Linked DNA regions of Caenorhabditis elegans. The protein of the gene in region 3 interacts with the protein of the main gene of each other region in a pairwise test. Each region holds a gene or a part of one and is shown on either strand. Other genes may lie near its edges. The genes, in order: uaf-1, csn-4 and sec-16A.1.

What was found.
Region 1: the proteins of sec-16A.1 (region 3) and uaf-1 interact in a two-hybrid assay, tested with the Caenorhabditis elegans proteins (one large-scale study listed by BioGRID).
Region 2: the proteins of sec-16A.1 (region 3) and csn-4 interact in a two-hybrid assay, tested with the Caenorhabditis elegans proteins (one large-scale study listed by BioGRID).

Annotation. Positions count from the first base shown.
Region 1 is NC_003281.10:1,073,457-1,078,160, forward strand, and holds the start of uaf-1 (Splicing factor U2AF 65 kDa subunit), read right to left. Parts: upstream 3,100-4,704; coding exon 2,870-3,099; intron 1,020-2,869; coding exon 724-1,019; intron 1-723. UniProt on the Caenorhabditis elegans protein: Necessary for the splicing of pre-mRNA. Binds to the polypyrimidine tract of introns early during spliceosome assembly.
Region 2 is NC_003282.8:1,083,886-1,088,796, forward strand, and holds the start of csn-4 (COP9 signalosome complex subunit 4), read right to left. Parts: upstream 3,129-4,911; 5' UTR 3,123-3,128; coding exon 3,043-3,122; intron 2,425-3,042; coding exon 2,339-2,424; intron 884-2,338; coding exon 723-883; intron 1-722. Other genes in the region: cct-8 (T-complex protein 1 subunit theta), read right to left, coding at 3,927-4,117. UniProt on the Caenorhabditis elegans protein: Component of the COP9 signalosome complex (CSN), a complex involved in various cellular and developmental processes.
Region 3 is NC_003281.10:9,124,017-9,131,350, forward strand, and holds sec-16A.1 (Protein transport protein sec-16A.1), read left to right. Parts: upstream 1-1,822; coding exon 1,823-1,837; intron 1,838-2,210; coding exon 2,211-2,250; intron 2,251-2,304; coding exon 2,305-2,404; intron 2,405-2,463; coding exon 2,464-2,631; intron 2,632-2,676; coding exon 2,677-3,271; intron 3,272-3,317; coding exon 3,318-3,430; intron 3,431-3,475; coding exon 3,476-3,914; intron 3,915-3,963; coding exon 3,964-4,119; intron 4,120-4,164; coding exon 4,165-4,440; intron 4,441-4,486; coding exon 4,487-4,692; intron 4,693-4,739; coding exon 4,740-5,811; intron 5,812-5,866; coding exon 5,867-6,016; intron 6,017-6,068; coding exon 6,069-6,354; intron 6,355-6,403; coding exon 6,404-6,486; 3' UTR 6,487-6,791; downstream 6,792-7,334. Other genes in the region: Protein ced-11, read left to right, coding at 1-87, 137-703, 752-1,036; ZK512.10 (DUF4752 family protein), read left to right, coding at 6,878-6,892, 6,939-7,029, 7,077-7,189, 7,242-7,292. UniProt on the Caenorhabditis elegans protein: Plays a role in the organization of the endoplasmic reticulum exit sites (ERES), also known as transitional endoplasmic reticulum (tER).

The DNA.
Region 1 (4,704 bases), 8.1 Mb from region 3:
TTCCGATTTTTCAGTGAAAAATTCAAATTTTCCCGAATTTTCACGTGAAAAACGGCAATTTTCACGAATTTTCCCGAGTTTTTAGTAAAAATATCCAATTTTTATTGAATTTTTCAGAGTTTTCAGTGAAAAAATCCAATTTTTCCGAATTTTCAGTAAAAAATCCAATTTTTCCGATTTTTCAGTGAAAAATTCAAATTTTCCCGAATTTTCACGTGAAAAACGGCAATTTTCACGAATTTTCCCGAGTTTTTAGTAAAAATATCCAATTTTTATTGAATTTTCGATGAAAAATTCGAATTTTTCCGAATTTTCGATGAAAAATTCGAATTTTTCCGAATTTTCAGTGAAAAAATCGAATTTTCTCGAATTTTCAGTGAAAACTGCCAATTTTCTCGAATTTTTCCGAATTTTCAGTGAAAACTGCCAATTTTCTCGAATTTTTCCGAATTTTCAGGCAAAAACTGCCAATTTTCTCGAATTTTTCCGAATTTTCAGTGAAAACTGCCAATTTTCTCGAATTTTTCCGAATTTTCAGTGAAAACTGCCAATTTTCTCGAATTTTTCCGAATTTTCAGTGAAAACTGCCAATTTTCTCGAATTTTTCCGAATTTTCAGTGAAAACTGCCAATTTTCTCGAATTTTTCCGAATTTTCAGGCAAAAACCGCCAATTTTCTCGAATTTTTCCGAATTGTCAGGCGAAAAATTCCATTTTTCCGTACCAACAACGGGCACTGCAGACTGTACAGATCCACGTGGAACCTGTCCAGCCGCCTGCATATTCTTGTACTCCATCGGTGTAGTTGTCTCGAATCCAGTCGGCGGAACATCCCAGAATCGGTACTTTTTGGGCTCACGAGGCTTCTGGGGCTCCGGCTCACGGCGCGAACGGGCTTCATCATCACCTCCACGACGTCTCGGCTCATCACGACCACCACCGCCTCGACGACGTTCACGGGATCGAGAACGATCACGATCACCTCCACCTCCACCACCACGACGTTCTCCACGATCACGACTGAAAATGGGGGGTTTTTGGGGTTTTTTGCCGGGAAAAATCGATTTTTTTGCGATTTTTTAGGTTAAAAAATGCGGATTTTCAGTGACTTTCAGCTAAAATCGCAATTTTCCAGTGTAAAAATCGATTTTTTTTGCAATTTTTTGGCTAGAAAAATTGCAATTTTTGGCAGTTTCGCAGGTTTTTGGCGGGAAAAATCGATTTTTTCGCGATTTTTTGGCTAGAAAAATGAGTTTTCATGCAGAAAAATTGCAATTTTTGGCAGTTTCGCAGGTTTTTGGCGGGAAAAATCGATTTTCTCGCGATTTTTTGGCTAGAAAAATGAGTTTTCATGCAGAAAAATTGCAATTTTTGGCAGCTTCGCAGGTTTTTGGCGGGAAAAATCGATTTTTTGCGATTTTTTAGGTTAAAAAATGCGGATTTTCAGTGATTTTCAGCTAAAATCGCAATTTTCCAGGGGAAAAATCGATTTTTGCGCACTTTTTTGGCTAGAAAAATGAGTTTTCATGCAGAAAAATTGCAATTTTTGTCAGATTCGCGCAGGTTTTTGGAAGGAAAAATCGATTTTTTAAGTTAAAAATGTAAATTTTCGCAATTTTCCACTGGAAATTCGATTTTTCGCCAACTTTTGGACAGAAAATTTGACTTTTCCGTGGAAACTCAGCTAAAATTGCGATTTTTTGAAGGTTTTTGGGCGGAAAGATGGATTTTTCGCAAATTTTTGGACAGAAAAACCATTCTTATTGCGTTTTTCAGTACAATTTGAGTAAAAACCGCCACTTTTTATTGTAAAAATTCAAAATTTTTAGGTAAAATTTGACCAAAGAACGCAATTTTCCACTGGAAAATCGATTTTTTGCGGTTTTTTGGACAGAAAATTAGACTTTTCAATGGAAATTCAGCTAAAATTGGGACTTTTTGGAGGTTTTTGGGCGGAAAAATGCGAATTTTTTTGGTGGAATTTAATTAAAAAATCTATTTTTGGCGAGTTTTTGAACAGGAAAATGGATTTTATCGTTACTTTTTAGGTTAAAAAAATGGGAATTTTCGTGGGAAATTTAGCTAAAATTGCGATTTCTCGCTTCCACGACTGAAAATTTCGGGGTTTTCGGCAGGAAAAATCGATATTTTACAACTTTTTAGGTTAAAAAATGGGAATTTTCGGTGGAATTTGACCAAAAAACGCAATTTTCCAACTGAAAATCGAATTTTTGCAAACTTTTGGACAGAAAATTTGACTTTTCCGTGGAAATTCAGCTAAAATTGCAATTTTTTGGAGGTTTTTGGAAGGAAAAATCGATTTTTTGCGATTTTTCAAAGTAAAAAATGCGAATTTTCGGTGGATTTTCAGCTAAAATTGCATCTTTTCCGCTTTTCCTGTGAAAAAATCGATTTTTCATAGATTTTTGGCAAAGAAAATGAAAATTTTGGTGGATTTCTTCAAGCAAAAATCGATTTTTTAAAGAGTTTTTTGGCAGGAAAAATGGGATTTTCGGTAGTGTTTTTCATGGAAAATCATCAAATTTCGCTCTGAAAATCCGATTTTGGGTCAATTTTCTTCAAATTTAGACCATTTTCTAGCGGAAAACTCGATTTTCGCAGAGTTTTCGACGAAAATCCTCGAATTTTTGCTCTAAAAATGTTGATTTTCTGGGTTTGAAGTCATTTTTAAGCCGTTTTTCATGCAAAAAGCGATTTTCAGCGTAATTCTGGCCAAAAAAAAACAAAATTTCCTCCTAAAAATCCGATTTTGGGTCAATTTTCTAGCGGAAAACTCGATTTTCGCCGAGTTTTCCACGAAAATTCTCGAATATTCCGTCAAAAAATGCAATTTTTTCCAGCTTAAGCACCTTCTCGAGCGTCTTCTCGTATCGCGATCTCTACTTCTCGATCGTTTTCTCTTTTTCCGATCATTATCATCCTCTCCACCACCACCACCAGTCGATGATTTCAGATTTTCTTCATTTTCCAGTGGTCCAGTGGTCGGCTGAATCGCTTCGAGACCTCCTTCACGTTGAGCAACGTCCAAAAATTGGCGTTCAATATCTTCAAGTTTCATGCCATCCTGGTGATCACTCATCTGGAAAATTGGGAATTTTCTTTAAAAAATAGAGCTGAAAATCCGGAGAAAATGGATGGAAAAATTTGAAAATTTGGGCAGAGGTTCCCCGGGAAAGTGGTCAAATGTGCTCCTGTGAGCAATTTCGGGTGGAAAATTCCAAAATTTTGTAATTTCTAATGCAAAAGTTTGGAATTTTCACACCAAAATCACCGATAGAGCACATTTGCCACGGAAAATTGAATTTTAATCTGAGAGTTTAGCACATTTTTGCGAGAAAAACTGAAAAAAAAATTTTGCAGTTTTCTGAGTAAAATTGGTTAATTTTTTCAGGATTTTCCTGAATTTTGGGCTCCGAGAGCATTTTTGGATACTAATTCCACATTTTTCAATTTTTCTCGAATTTTCACGTGAAAAACGGCAATTTTCACGAATTTTCCCGAGTTTTTAGTAAAAATATCCAATTTTTATTGAATTTTTCAGAGTTTTCAGTGAAAAATTCCAATTTTTCCGAATTTTCTGAAAAAAAAAACCGAAAATTCGGAGAAATTCACGAAAAAATGGGTTTTTTTAATGGAAAAATAGCTGAAAATTCGGTGGAAATCGCGAAAAAATGAGTTTCTCTGAAAAAAAAAATAGCCGAAAATCAGGGGAAAACCGCGGAAAAATGGAGACAATTGGGCGAAAATGAGGAAATTTGGCGATTTTTTGGAAAAATCGTTGAAAATTCGGTGGAAATCGCGAAAAAATGGAGGTTTTTCTGAAAAAATAGCTGAAAAACCCGACAAAATGGCGAAAATATGGAAAAAAATAGGGTGAAAGTGAGAAAATTTGGAGTTTTTCTGGAAAAAATTGCTCAAAATCGCGAAAAAATGGAGAAAATTGGACGAAAATGAGGAAATTTGGTGATTTTTTAAAAAATTGCTTAAAATTCGGTGAAAATGCTGGAAAAATAGCTCCAAAACGATAAATTGTGAGAAAATAAACGGTATTTGAGTGAATTTGCCGAAAAAATAGGAGTTTTTCTGGAAAAAATAGCTGAAAATCCCGAGAAAATGGCGAAAATATGGAATAAAAAGGTTGGAAATGAAGAAATTTGGGGTTTTTTGGCGAAAAATTGTTTAAAATTCGGGAAAAACCGCGAAAAAATGGAGAAAATAGGTTGGAAATGAGGAAATTTGGTGATTTTTTTACGAAAAAAAAAGAAAATTCGGTGAAAATGCTGGAAAAAAGAGCTCCTCGCTAAAATAGGCGAAATTTGAGTGAATTTGCCGGAAAAAACTGAGATTTTTCTGATAAAATAGCTGAAAATTCGGTGAAAATCGATAAAAAATAGCTTAAATGATGAAAAATCGCTGAAAAATGAGATTTTGCTGAAAAATAGGTAGAATCTATAAAATTTCGGGGAAAATGATGGAAATAATAGAAAAATGGGTAAAAGCACACACAAAATTAGGCTGAAAATCAATAAAATTAGGTGAAAAATGACAAAAATCTCCCAAAAAAATCGATAAAAAAATAGCTGAAAATCTGCAAAAAATCGATGAAGATATGCTGAAAATCGCTGAAAACGAGAGAAAAAATAACACAAAAATCCAATAAATTACAGGAAAAATGTTGCAATTT
Region 2 (4,911 bases), on a different chromosome or scaffold from region 3:
TATCTTGCTTTGTTTTCCGCCTGTTTTCTTTTGTTTTTCACAGCTTTGTCCCATTTTTTCTTATTAAAACTGATAAATCAATATTTTTTGCAGATGCTAAAACAATTTCCAAGTAAAAAAATTATGTATTCAGTGGGCAAGCAGCGGTGAAAGTGGTCAATGCAATATGATGGATTACGGGAATACAAAACCTAACCTTTTTCTGAAACATGATACATATGATGCTTAGATGCTGAAATTACCTGATTTTCATAACGAGACCGCTGAAAAAGTTTTGAGATTTCCACAATTCAACTTTTTTGGTGAAAAAGTCGAGATTTTCGCACAAAAAGTTGAATTTTGGAAACCTCAAAACTTTTTCAGCGGTCTTGATATGAAAATCAGGTAGCTTCAGCATCTAAGCATCATATGTATCATGTTTCAGAAAAAATTTAGGTTTTGTATTCCCGTAATCCATCATATTACAATGCCCACTTTCACCGCTGCTTGCCCACTGAATACATAATTTTTTTACTTCGAAATTGTTTTATCATCTGCAAAAAATATTTATTTATCAGTTTTAATAAGAAAAAACGGGAAAAAGCTGTGAAAAACGAAAGAAAACAGGCGGAAAACAAAGCAAGATAAATGGCCGCTGAAACTTGTCGGCCCCTCGGCCATGGCCTAGAAACCACTGTTCCTCGTCCCTCGTGAGGAAAAAGTTGCAGTGCATTTCCAAGTACCTGATCCTCATAAGAGATGGTTCGAGTCTTAATAATCGCCAAAATTCCTTCTGAAATAGCCTTAACACATTCTGATTCCAAATGTTGATTATCCAATCTTTCAGTGATAAGTGATACAAATTGACGTGATACAACCATACTTCCAGTCTCCAATGCGATTACTGCAAACATTTTTGGGGTTATAGGCTGCTAAAAATTCTAAAAGAAATACAAATTTTGCACTGAAACAGTGCAAAAATTGTAATTTTTAGCTGATAATTCAATTTTTTTATACAAATATTAATTTTTTCCTGTTTTTTTTAACGAAAAGCTTGAAAATCTTCGTCTAAGAAGCCTATTTTAAGCCTAAAAACTAGAAATTTCCACTTTTTTAAAGCTTTATTTTGAACCTGAAAATTTGAAAAAAAAATGGTAAAAAAATTCCATTTTTATTTAATTTTATGCGAAAAATTGAAAAATGTCCTAAAAGTCACATTTTTCGTTAAAAGGCCCTATTTTAAGCCTAAAATTGGCTGAAAATCCAATTATTCTGGAAAAAAAGTTAAATAATCACTTTTTCCGTGGAAAAAACAGCTGAAAATCCGATTTTTTCAAGAAAAATATATCAAAATCCCTGAAAACTCGATTTTTTCGTGAAAAATCAGCTGAAAATCGCTTAAAAACGCAGAACATTGAGAATTTTCGAGAAAAATCGTTGAAAAACGCACTTTTTCCGTGGAAAAACGGTTTGAAAATTTGAGTTTCTTAATTCAAATTTTTCAAGAAAAATCCAATTTTTGGGGGTTTTTTTTGGCTTCTGAGGGTGAAAAAGGCTCAAAATCTGAATTTTCTGTGAAAAATCGGTAAAAGGTCGCTTTTTATACCGGAAAAATCGAATTGTTCGAGGAAAATCTTTAGAAATTCAATTTTTCCCGCGAAAAAACGGTTGAAAACTACTGGCTGAAAATCACATTTACCGTGAAAAATTGGAAATTTCGCGTTTTTTAAAGGAAATTTTTAACTTTTCAAAAAAAAAAAACAAAACTGCAGAAAACGAACGAAAAATTGGATTTTTGTGAAAATTCATAAATTACATTGAAAAATTTTTTTTTTTGGATTTGGAGCTGAATATTGGCAGAAAATCCGATTTTTTCAGGAAAAATCTTTAAAAATTTACATTTTTTTTTACAAAATGGACTCAAAATTAGCTTAAATCGCTCGAAAAAGGCTGAAAATTCCATATTTTTCACTTAAAATATTTCACTTAAAATATGGAATTTTCAGCCTTTTTTGAGCGATTTAAGCTAATTTTGAGTCCATTTTGTAAAAAAAAATGTAAATTTTTAAAGATTTTTCCTGAAAAAATCGGATTTTCTGCCAATTTTCAGCTCCAAAAATTCAAAAAAAAATTTTTTTCAATGTAATTTATTTATTTCCAGCTAAATTTCAACAGGAATTCCGAAAATGTTCTCGTTTTCCGTCAATTTTTATCGAGATTTATCGATTTTCAGCCAGATTCCAACCAAATTGTCCAATTTTGAGCGATTTTCGTCCATTTTTTCACCAAAACTCATCATTTTTCGTAATTTTTAGCCAGATTCCCACTGAAAAATCCGAAATTTTCGTCGTGTTCCAACCTGTATCAATGATTTTAATAATTTCCGCCGTATCGACTCGTCCCATCGCATTTTGTGGCAAATATTTGTTGCAAAGCTTCGCCAATCTGCAAAAATCGGGGAATTTTTTGTCTGAAAATCGAGAAAATTTCGGCTTTTTAGCTAAAAAATTACATGAAATTTCAGAAAATCACATTTTACGTGAAAAAGCTGAAATTTTTAGCGTGATTTTCAGCAAAAAAATTAAAAAATTTTTTTAATTTGAGAATTTTCGAGTTTTTTGATACAAAAATTGGAAATTTTTTAGCTAATAATTAGTTTTTTTCCAATTTTTGAACGAAAAAAGTGCGGGATTTGTAAGAATTTTTCATTTCAAAATTCGTAGAAAATAAATGAAAACTTGAGTTTTTAAATAGAATTTTTCAGATTTTAAGTATAAAAATTTGAAAATTTCAGATTTTCTGGAAAAAAAAGATAAAAATTTCAATTTTTCGCGAATTTTACTAATTTTTTAAATTAGGAAATGTTTTTGCGTGAAAATTCGTTTTTTTTTCAAAATTTCTACATAGCTAAAATCGTTTTTTTTTTTTCATATTTTTTCAGCTGAAAATTTACAAAATTCAGATTTTCCAATGAAAAATACAAAAATTTGGGATTTTTTGCTAAAAATTTCCAGATTTTCACATTTTTAGCTCCAAATTTTCTCAAAAATCCAAAAATATTACGCTTCATATTGAGCCTTGTGATCGGTATCCTGTGCAAAAATGACCGCCACCTCCTGTGAACGTTCAATTTCGCCGCTCATTTTCAGCTGAAATTGTGGAAATTTTACAACAAAATTTTGGGGGGAATTTTCAGATAAAAATATAGGAAATTCGACTATTTTTTCTTTAAAATTTCTAATTTTTTGTGATTTTTTTGGAGAATTTTATAACAAACACAACGTGAAGCAAAAAACGAGAAAAAAAAACAAAATTTCGAGGGGGAAAAGCTGAAAATTATAGAATTTAAGGCGCAATTTTAAGATCATAAACTGTGATTTTCAGATTCAGAACGGGTTGGGGGATAGCATTAAAAATTATGGAGAATTGGAGGAAAAAGGCTGAAATTCGGCTGAAAATGGGGCAAAAGTTCGATTTTTCAGAAGAAAATGACAATTTTAAGCCCATTTTCTGGCAAAAACTGGAAAATTTTGGCTGAAAAATGCAAATTTTTAGCTAAATTTGACCAAAATCGAGTAAATTTGGAACTGAATTTTCGCGTTAAAAAAAAAAAATTAATTTTTAAGCAAAAATCGAATTTTCAGCTCATTTTCCAGCGAAAATCAATAAAAACGGGGAAATTGCAAAAAATCATACGGAGAAGGCATATAGAGCGGGAAAATTTAAAAAATACGGGGAAAAATGGTGGAAAATGAGCTAAAAACTGTTAAGCGAATTTTCAAGATAATTGCAATTTCAGCTCAATTCCCAGGGAAACGGCGGGGAAATTCGAGGGGAAAATCTGAAAAAGTGGGGGAAAATTGTCTAAAATTTCGCTGAAAAATCGATTTTCAGCTCATTTTCACTCAAATTTCCCCAATTTTTCAGCAAAAATGCACACAAAAAAATTAGGCCATTCCATCGTCATCCTCATCTTGAGCCTTTGGTCCACGTGGTTTTGGTCCTCCAGTCGCCTGCTTTGACATAATAATCTGATCAACTTTGAGAATTGTGCTGGCGGCGTCTGTGGCGAGCTTAATTGCCAGTCGTTTTCCAGCGTAGAGGTCGAAAATGTTGTTGACGACGGCGTCCATTGTTTCTGAAAAAAAAGAAGGAATTTTAGTTTAAAATTCGGGATTTTTCAGAATTTTGATTGAAAATTTACAAGTTTTATGCGCTGGAAATTGACATTTTTAGCCAAAATTTCGGGGGGTTTTGAGGAATTTTTACCTGAAAATTTGGCATTTTTCAGAGTTGAAAATGGCCGATTTTTGGCTGAGTTTTCGATTTTTTCATTCAATTTTTTGCATTTTTGAGTTGATTTAAAGAAATTTCAGTTGAAAATTTCGGATTTTCAGCTAATTTTCTGAGCTTGAACCGAAAAGTTGAGGTTTTTCAAAAGGAAAATTGGCCAATTTTGATTAAAACTTGAAAATTTTCTGTCAGTTTGCTGATATTTTTTTTTGGAATTTTTAGCAAAAATTGAATGTGTTGTCTGGAATTGGGGGATTTTTTTTGGAAATTTTGACGTTTTTTGGAAGAATTTCAGTTGACTTTTGACTGAAAATTGCCTATTTTTAGCGAAAATTCCGGGTTTTGTGAGGGTTTCCAGCTGTGAAAAATCAGTTATTTTAATGCAAAAACTGAAGAAAACTTTAAAAAAGTGAAGCAAAACAAAAGAAAATTGATGTTTCCGGTCACATTTTCAGTCAAAAATGCACATTTTCAGGTAAAATTCAAGTTTTTCGGCCATTTTTCGACCTAAATTATTGGATTTACAGTGGAAAATTTAGGTTTTCGGCGAATTTCAGCCGAAATTGTTAGATTTTCAGCAGAAACAGCGGAATTCCGGTGAAAATTCAAATTTTCAGTTAGAAATGTTTTCGGTAAATT
Region 3 (7,334 bases):
CTTTCGATGGAACAATGGAAAAATACACAGCAGAAAGCGAAGATATCAGCAAACAAATCAGAACTTCAGGAACTTCATAATATTCATGTAAGATTTATTTTTTTAAACACAAGTTTAAAACTGAAAATAATTTCAGAACCACATTCGAATGATGACTTTGCGAGATTCATATGAAAATTCGGGTACACGAAAAGCTTCAGAACTTCAATTTTTCGAGAAATACCCAGAAAGTAACATTCTGAAGATTAGTGTGAACATGGTGTCTAAGCCATGGACAGTGCTTGTACCTAGATACAATCCCCCCTTCTATTGTAAGCCTGCGGAAGATTTTCCATCAGATGTGCAAAAGTATGTTGATATTGCCACGGAGCAAAATGTTGGAGAACTAAAACGAATTTGGAGAAGCCGTCAGGCAAATGATGTTACTAGTAGTAATGATAAATGTTGGAAGCTCTCAGCTGCCGGCTTCCCATTGAATCCGAATGGTCGAACTGGAATGGCTGGAAGAGGAAATCATCCGAGATTTGGTGCTAATCGACGTTGTTATTATGTCGTTTTGAGTGGTGGAGTTGAAGCGAAATGTCAAGTTCTAGTTGATAGTCAGAAGAATATTCCAAATGAATGGCATCTGGAGAACTCGTCGAAAGATGAACATCTGACATCTATTTTGAAGATGATTGGAATTTCAGATTCTGACGCTCATGTAAGTAACCAAAAAGATTACTTTTAAAAATTTGTGATGTATTTTCAGATGTTTTCAATGCGACGTTTGGATAGCTCAATTATCACTGCGGACAAAAGAATACCATCCAATGACACGAGTCCTGCTCATTTGGCTTCAGAAGTTGCAGAAAATGAAAACGATACAGACAACGCGTGGACGGAGCATGATGTTTGGGCTATTTCTCTCCGAGAACGACGTATAATAACCACAATTATCGGTTATTCGTGGCTTCCTACGAGTGCAATTCGTGGAACAGTGCTTCCATGGCAAGCAGATCTTGTTTTCCGAGCAAAGACAATATACGGGTTATAATGCTACAACTTTCATAAATTATGAATTCACTTAAATTGTTATTCGATGTTTGTTTTTTAAAGCTGATAGCTAAGAGATAATTTAATAAAGCTTGGAAGAATAAAAATAAAGCACTCACCAAAACACATATAATGAGAGGCCTAACAAAAAATGTAGGGGTACTGTAGCAGTTTTGAAACAAATTTTTCTAAATATTGTAGAGCGATTGTTGGTTAGGTTTGCGGAGTGTTGTGCAGTAAAACTGTAAGAACTGTCGCGAATGCGGAGAACCAAGAATACTTCTCCTTGTCGCCACTTTATTACTTAATATTATTTCCTTTAATTTAACACAATTATTATGTATATTCATTAATTAATTATCGTCATCTTCCTTGTTTTTCCCGTTATTTTTGGTCCGTTTAGGTGTGACACGGAGATAAAAGATACCTTAGCAAAATAAGTTCTTTTCGTGAAAAAACAAATCTTCGTATTTATTAAACAACTTTGTTTCTGTTAACAAATAAATAAATCCTTGCTTTCGATTTTACGATTTTGTGGCTACGGTACACAATGTTCACTCCGCAAGCACCGAAACTGACGACAGTTTTTCTATCAGTTATTTTTTTCATTCAACCTCGAACTTTTTTCGCGTTTATTCATTTCTCGCGTGAACTTTTTGTCTTATTTTATTTTTAAGCTTGGCTTCACGTGGCACCGCGCTTTTAACACATCCGTGCGGCGTTTTGAATTGAACTTTAAATTGGAAATTCCCAAAAACCCACGATTTTTATGGATTTCGAATGGAAAATGCGGCGATACAGGGTAAGATTTCCCAAAATTGTAATTTTAAATCTTAAGGCCATTAAGAAAACAAGTAAAAACCGAATTTATTTTACCATTTGGAAGAATAAAAAACAAAATTCATATCATTTTCCCATTCACTTTCACCTGTTCGTATCACTTCCAACAAAGGAAAACTGAACTATTCTTGTTTTCAATTTTCCCATTTTCCCATATTCCCCACAGCAGCCCTTTCCGTGCATTTTTGCGTCGCCGTGTTGGCACTAAAGTGACACGGTTGACCTCAATTTGCCCCTTCTTTTCTTTTCTTCCCTTGTCTTCTGCCTCTCTATATTTACCCAACAGACTTTAACATCTCGACACTTAACTTGTATATTCGCCTAATTTATTACAGATCGATTCTATGAAGTATGAACAACGAATGAATGCCGGAGGTATGATAAAATTCGATTTATCAACAATTTTTATCAATCACTATTCATTTTCAGCTTCTGGTTTCGATATGAGTGACTGGAATAATCCTTACAATGCTTCACCTCCGTCTTCTAGAGGAGGCGATGATGACGCTTCATCCGTTAACCATTCAAGGTCAGTGAATACAAGAATTTCACACGCCGATCGATATCTTTTCATCGCTTTTTTTTCAGGCCTCGACGCAGTCGGCTGGACAACGATATTCCACAACCAAGAAGACCCATTCTTATTCAACCAGCTCGCCCAGTATCTCAAAAGAGTAACCGGCAGGGTACTGGAATGAGTAATGGTTCAAGAGGCCTCAACTCAACTTTCAATGGATATGACCGTACTTATTCAAGGTTTAAAACAAGGGAGTTTCTTCTTCTAATTATGGAAATTTGCAGATATCACCAAAACTCTTCACGTGGCCCAAGCGAAGGTTTCTCTGGTGCTCCTTCAGCTCGAAATGCATCTGGATATGCGAGTGATTACGCGAATAGTCGTGCTGGTGTGGGATTGCTGCCGAACAACCACCGTGAGCCTGTGAGACCACGATCAACTGCTGCTGAAAGATATGCGAACGCATCTTCAATGAGAAATGGTTTTGTATATGATAGTGGAGAGTCTGATAAGACTTCAGAAGAGCTGGAAGAAGACGAAGAAGAGGAAGAAGTACGAAATTTTTATATGGAAGGACGAGCACAAGGCTCCAGGAGTGTAACAAATACCCTTGCCTCTGAAGTTTATAATAGCGAAAGTGAAAGCTATTACTACGGAGTTGTGAAACTTGGCTCTGCTATTGTTGATCATGTGTTCCGAACGATGCCTCCTCCGGAAAAATACTATAAGATGCCGCCAATCGACCGTGTCGCTTATGTATTCTACTGTGCCGTTAATAACAAACCTTACAACAATATTGATGAGTTTCACGTAATTTTTAATCGTGAATTCTACTCCTACCGCGGGTATGGTGATTCTAAAGATCTGGCACTTTTTAAGGTAAGATTACTGACAAAATTGAATTGCTTCATATTTTAAATTACAGGTTTGCAAGCGGATGCAAGAAGAATTCTCCCTGAAGCAACTGGAAGCCGACAGATTGGCGTACGAAAAAGCACGACAAGAAGCTGCAGAGAGCGAGAAACTGGATTTCAATCAGTGAGTATGGAACCAACGGTACAATGAGCAAAAATATTATTATAGGCATAAAATCGAGGAACGCGAAGAGCCAAAACTTAACATCTCGCAACCCGAAGAAGTGTTGAGCAACGGACCACTTCATTATCACTCCTGCCTTCAGTTTGCTACCATTGGTGTTGGAGGAAAATTGGTGATCATTAAACCAGCGGGAACCATCGATAGTATCACTGGACATGTTCTAAGTACATCCAGCGTTCATGTGGATGATCTGAAAACATTTCTTCATTTCGATGAACAATCTGGAAAAGTGATCGAATCAGTTCAGAACTTTAAAGGACCACTGATTGCTGGACAAACTCCAACTCATTCCGTTCGTCTCTACATCCAACGACAAATCGACGCTCTTCGCCAGATCAGAAATGCTGGTGACGTAAAGAAAAGTGAGGTGGTGGATGCTCTTCTCGTCTGGCAATTGCTCGAAATCATGGTTCAGCAACATGGAGTAAGAATTGTTTTAATTTGAGAACTTAGTAGGAATTTAACATTTTAAGAGAGTCACCGGACCCGATGTAGCAACACTGCTGACAAATGCCTCGGAAGAACTTGGTGAAAAAACTGGAATTTCAAGCAATGGGACATCCGAGTCTGGTTCGAAGTTCGAAGCAAAGGAGCGGTTCAATAAGTATCTTCTTGGTGGTCACATTAATGTAATTTTGTCTAATCTTGTTAATTAAATAATTATAATTTTTCAGGAAGCTGTTGAAAGTGCTATAACCGATGGACTCTATGCCGACGCAATGACATTGATCCGTAGACTGCATCCAAATGACGCTAAGAAAATTGAGGAAATCGAGGCACGATTTATGAATCTTCGTTCCATTGACGATCCATTCGCAACACTGGTTGCAGTTTCAAGTGATCAACCACCTCCGATTCTGACGAATTCGGCGTTCGATGATGACAACAATTGGAAACGACATGCGGCCATTGTTCTTGCGAATCTAAACTCGCAGACCGCTATGCAAACGGTACGGCAGGAGAAAAGCAAAACTAAAACTGTAAAATTTTTTTCAGATCTATCATCTCGGCTTGCTCCTAGCAAAAAGAGAACGAAACTGTGCTGCTGATTTCTGTCTCCTTGTTGTATGCATTCTGGCTGGTTATGATCCATTTATTCCAGTGGCTCACGACGGAGATGAAACTTCGAGAAAGCACATCGGCCTTGTGCATAGTGGATCTAACTTGTTGAATCGAGTTGATGGACTATCAGGAACCGCTGGGTAAGATTACTTAACACAATATGCATAACATAAAACATGCTTTTCAGATTCTCATTCACTGATCTTCATGCTACTGATATTTTTGATTATGCTCTCCGACTGGGAAATAACAATGTCGATTCACCACTAGCAAAATCGATTGATTATCAGTTAGCTCGTATTGAATACGCAAAGAAGCTGTCGTCTTTTGGTGGATTTGCTACGGATGCGTTCAGATATTGTACAGAAGTAGCAAGATCGTTGTGGATGTATGTCGCAGCTTTCGATAAAAATGCAATGTTTGATCTTTGCGATCTGGCTGAGAGTCTTCAATACATGGCTGCCGCAACTCCTGATGAAAGTGGTTGGATTACAACTATGAGAGGAATGCTAGGTGCAGCTCCAGTTCAAGAATCTCAACAACATGTTCCACAGCCACAACCAGTGGAAAACAAATCTATTTCGTCTGAAGCTAAAAAATGGCATGATGAGCATCAAGCGCCGCTGGAGATTGGATCACGTAACGATCAACAACATAACGATAAAACTGTCGAGAAACCAATTGCACCCGGACGTGCTTCTTTGCCTCCACCTACCCTGGTTACTGAATCGTCATCTGAATCGACATTTACAGATAAATCCGATTCTTCGGTTACTGTCGCTGCGTCAGCATCAAGAACTTCAACGTTGACCTCATCCACTTTACCACCACCACCATCCCTTCCAAAAACTATCGAAAAACCAATCTCAACACCACCACCAATTTCTAAAAATGTTGTTCCTGAGATGACGCCTCCAGCGATTGTGAAGCCACCGATGCCAACGTTATCGATGCCTATTCCACCTGTCAGTACTCCAATCATGGTATCACCTCAACCTATTCCTATTCCGAAACCTGTTGACGCCAGCATTGCAAAAAGTCCTCGTTCGGAACTGGATGATTTATGGGACACTTCACCGCCAAGCAATCAAACTTCATATCCACCTGCACCGCGAAATATTCAACCATCTTATTCGCCTGCACCTAACTTTGCAAACCCAACAGCTCCAAGTGTACCAACACCACCACCAGCCGTTTCTTCTGCTCCGGTTCTTCAACAAGCAACACTAGGACAAGCATCTATTCCAAATGCTAAAACTGTGAGTTTTCTGTGAAACCTTCAGAATGACAAGTAATTATTTTTAATTATTAAAGACTGCGCCGCCTGTCCCACAGAAACAACCTGAACTTGCATTGAATGAACGAAAAGCATCTAAAGGATGGTTCGGATCGATTAAGGAAAAAGTCATCAAATCGATTCCATCAGCAAACCAAATGATCCTGCCTGACGATTCAAAGCCAAGTGTATGTTAATTTGAAAGCCGATTTTTTGAATATCAAATATTCATTTGTTCAGATCGTTTGGGATCCTGTTCAGAAAAGATATGTTGGTGCTGGAGTAGAAGAAGAGGTCGTAGCTGCTCCACCGCCAGTCATGTCAGCTCCTCATTTGATGGGTGGAGGTCCTGATTCTAACAAATCGAGCACGAATAGTCTGCGAAGTGCTAGAAGTGGAGTTGGATCACGATATCTTCAATCGGGAATGGCCACTAGCCAAGCACCAGCTATGGACACTGGAATGCCACCGATGATGCCTCCAACCATGCCAATGTCATTCAGCTTTATGCCTGCACCCACTGAAGGTATAATTAATTGAGAATTAGTTTTTTCTTCAATTAATTTCATTTTCAGATGATTCCTCCGAATATGTTGATCCATTCAGCGGTGAACCAACGGCTCCTTCCGAATCATTATCCAAACAGAATAACGATTAATATGCTTCAATTCTTCCAAATTATATGTGTTGTCGTCCCCATCGCCTTTTGTATCCCCCTCCCACCCACTATCATTCTTTCAAATAACCATTTCCTGTTATCTGGTCAGGCCCGTTTCCTCTAAAAACTTCTGTGATTATTCCATAGTATCTTCCTTCTTTTTTGTTGTGCAACTATATATGTTACGGTTTTATCTGAAAAATAAGTAGGCTAGTTTTTCTTTGTTCTGACGAGAAAATATGTGCTCTGAATTGATTCTCTGGTAAATAAATATATACTGAAATGAATAAATATAATGTACCGTGAAATCACTATTTGAATTTTACATTTGAAATCGAATTAAAAACAAAACAAAAAACTAATCGAATACCATTATTTCGCAAATTCGAAAATGTATCAACTGGACGTGAGTTTTCTCTTAATATTTCTGATTGATGTTCGAATATTTAAAGTCTTGGTACTCAGTGCTCTTCGAGCTTCTTCTCGTCGGTTTTTCTCTCTACAACTCGCTCAGAATGACTACTTGGTGGGATACCGTAGCCAGTAGGTCACAATTATTTTCAGGCAGTTTCCAGAAAAAAGATTTTCAGAAGGAGCATCTATCGCAGTGAATGGAGCAGCGAAACATTCACCTTCGGTCGCTGATCACTACGGTATTCGTACTGATAAAAATAGTGTTAGAAGCTATAGAAAGAGTAGCGTCGTGAGTTTTATTGAGACTAATTGAATAAATGTGTATATTTCCAAAATTTCAGAGATCACCAATTACGTTCGAAATGGGAGATGGGATTGAAGTAGCTCACTGATGGATCGTAATTTATTGGAAAAATGACGTTCAGAATAAATTT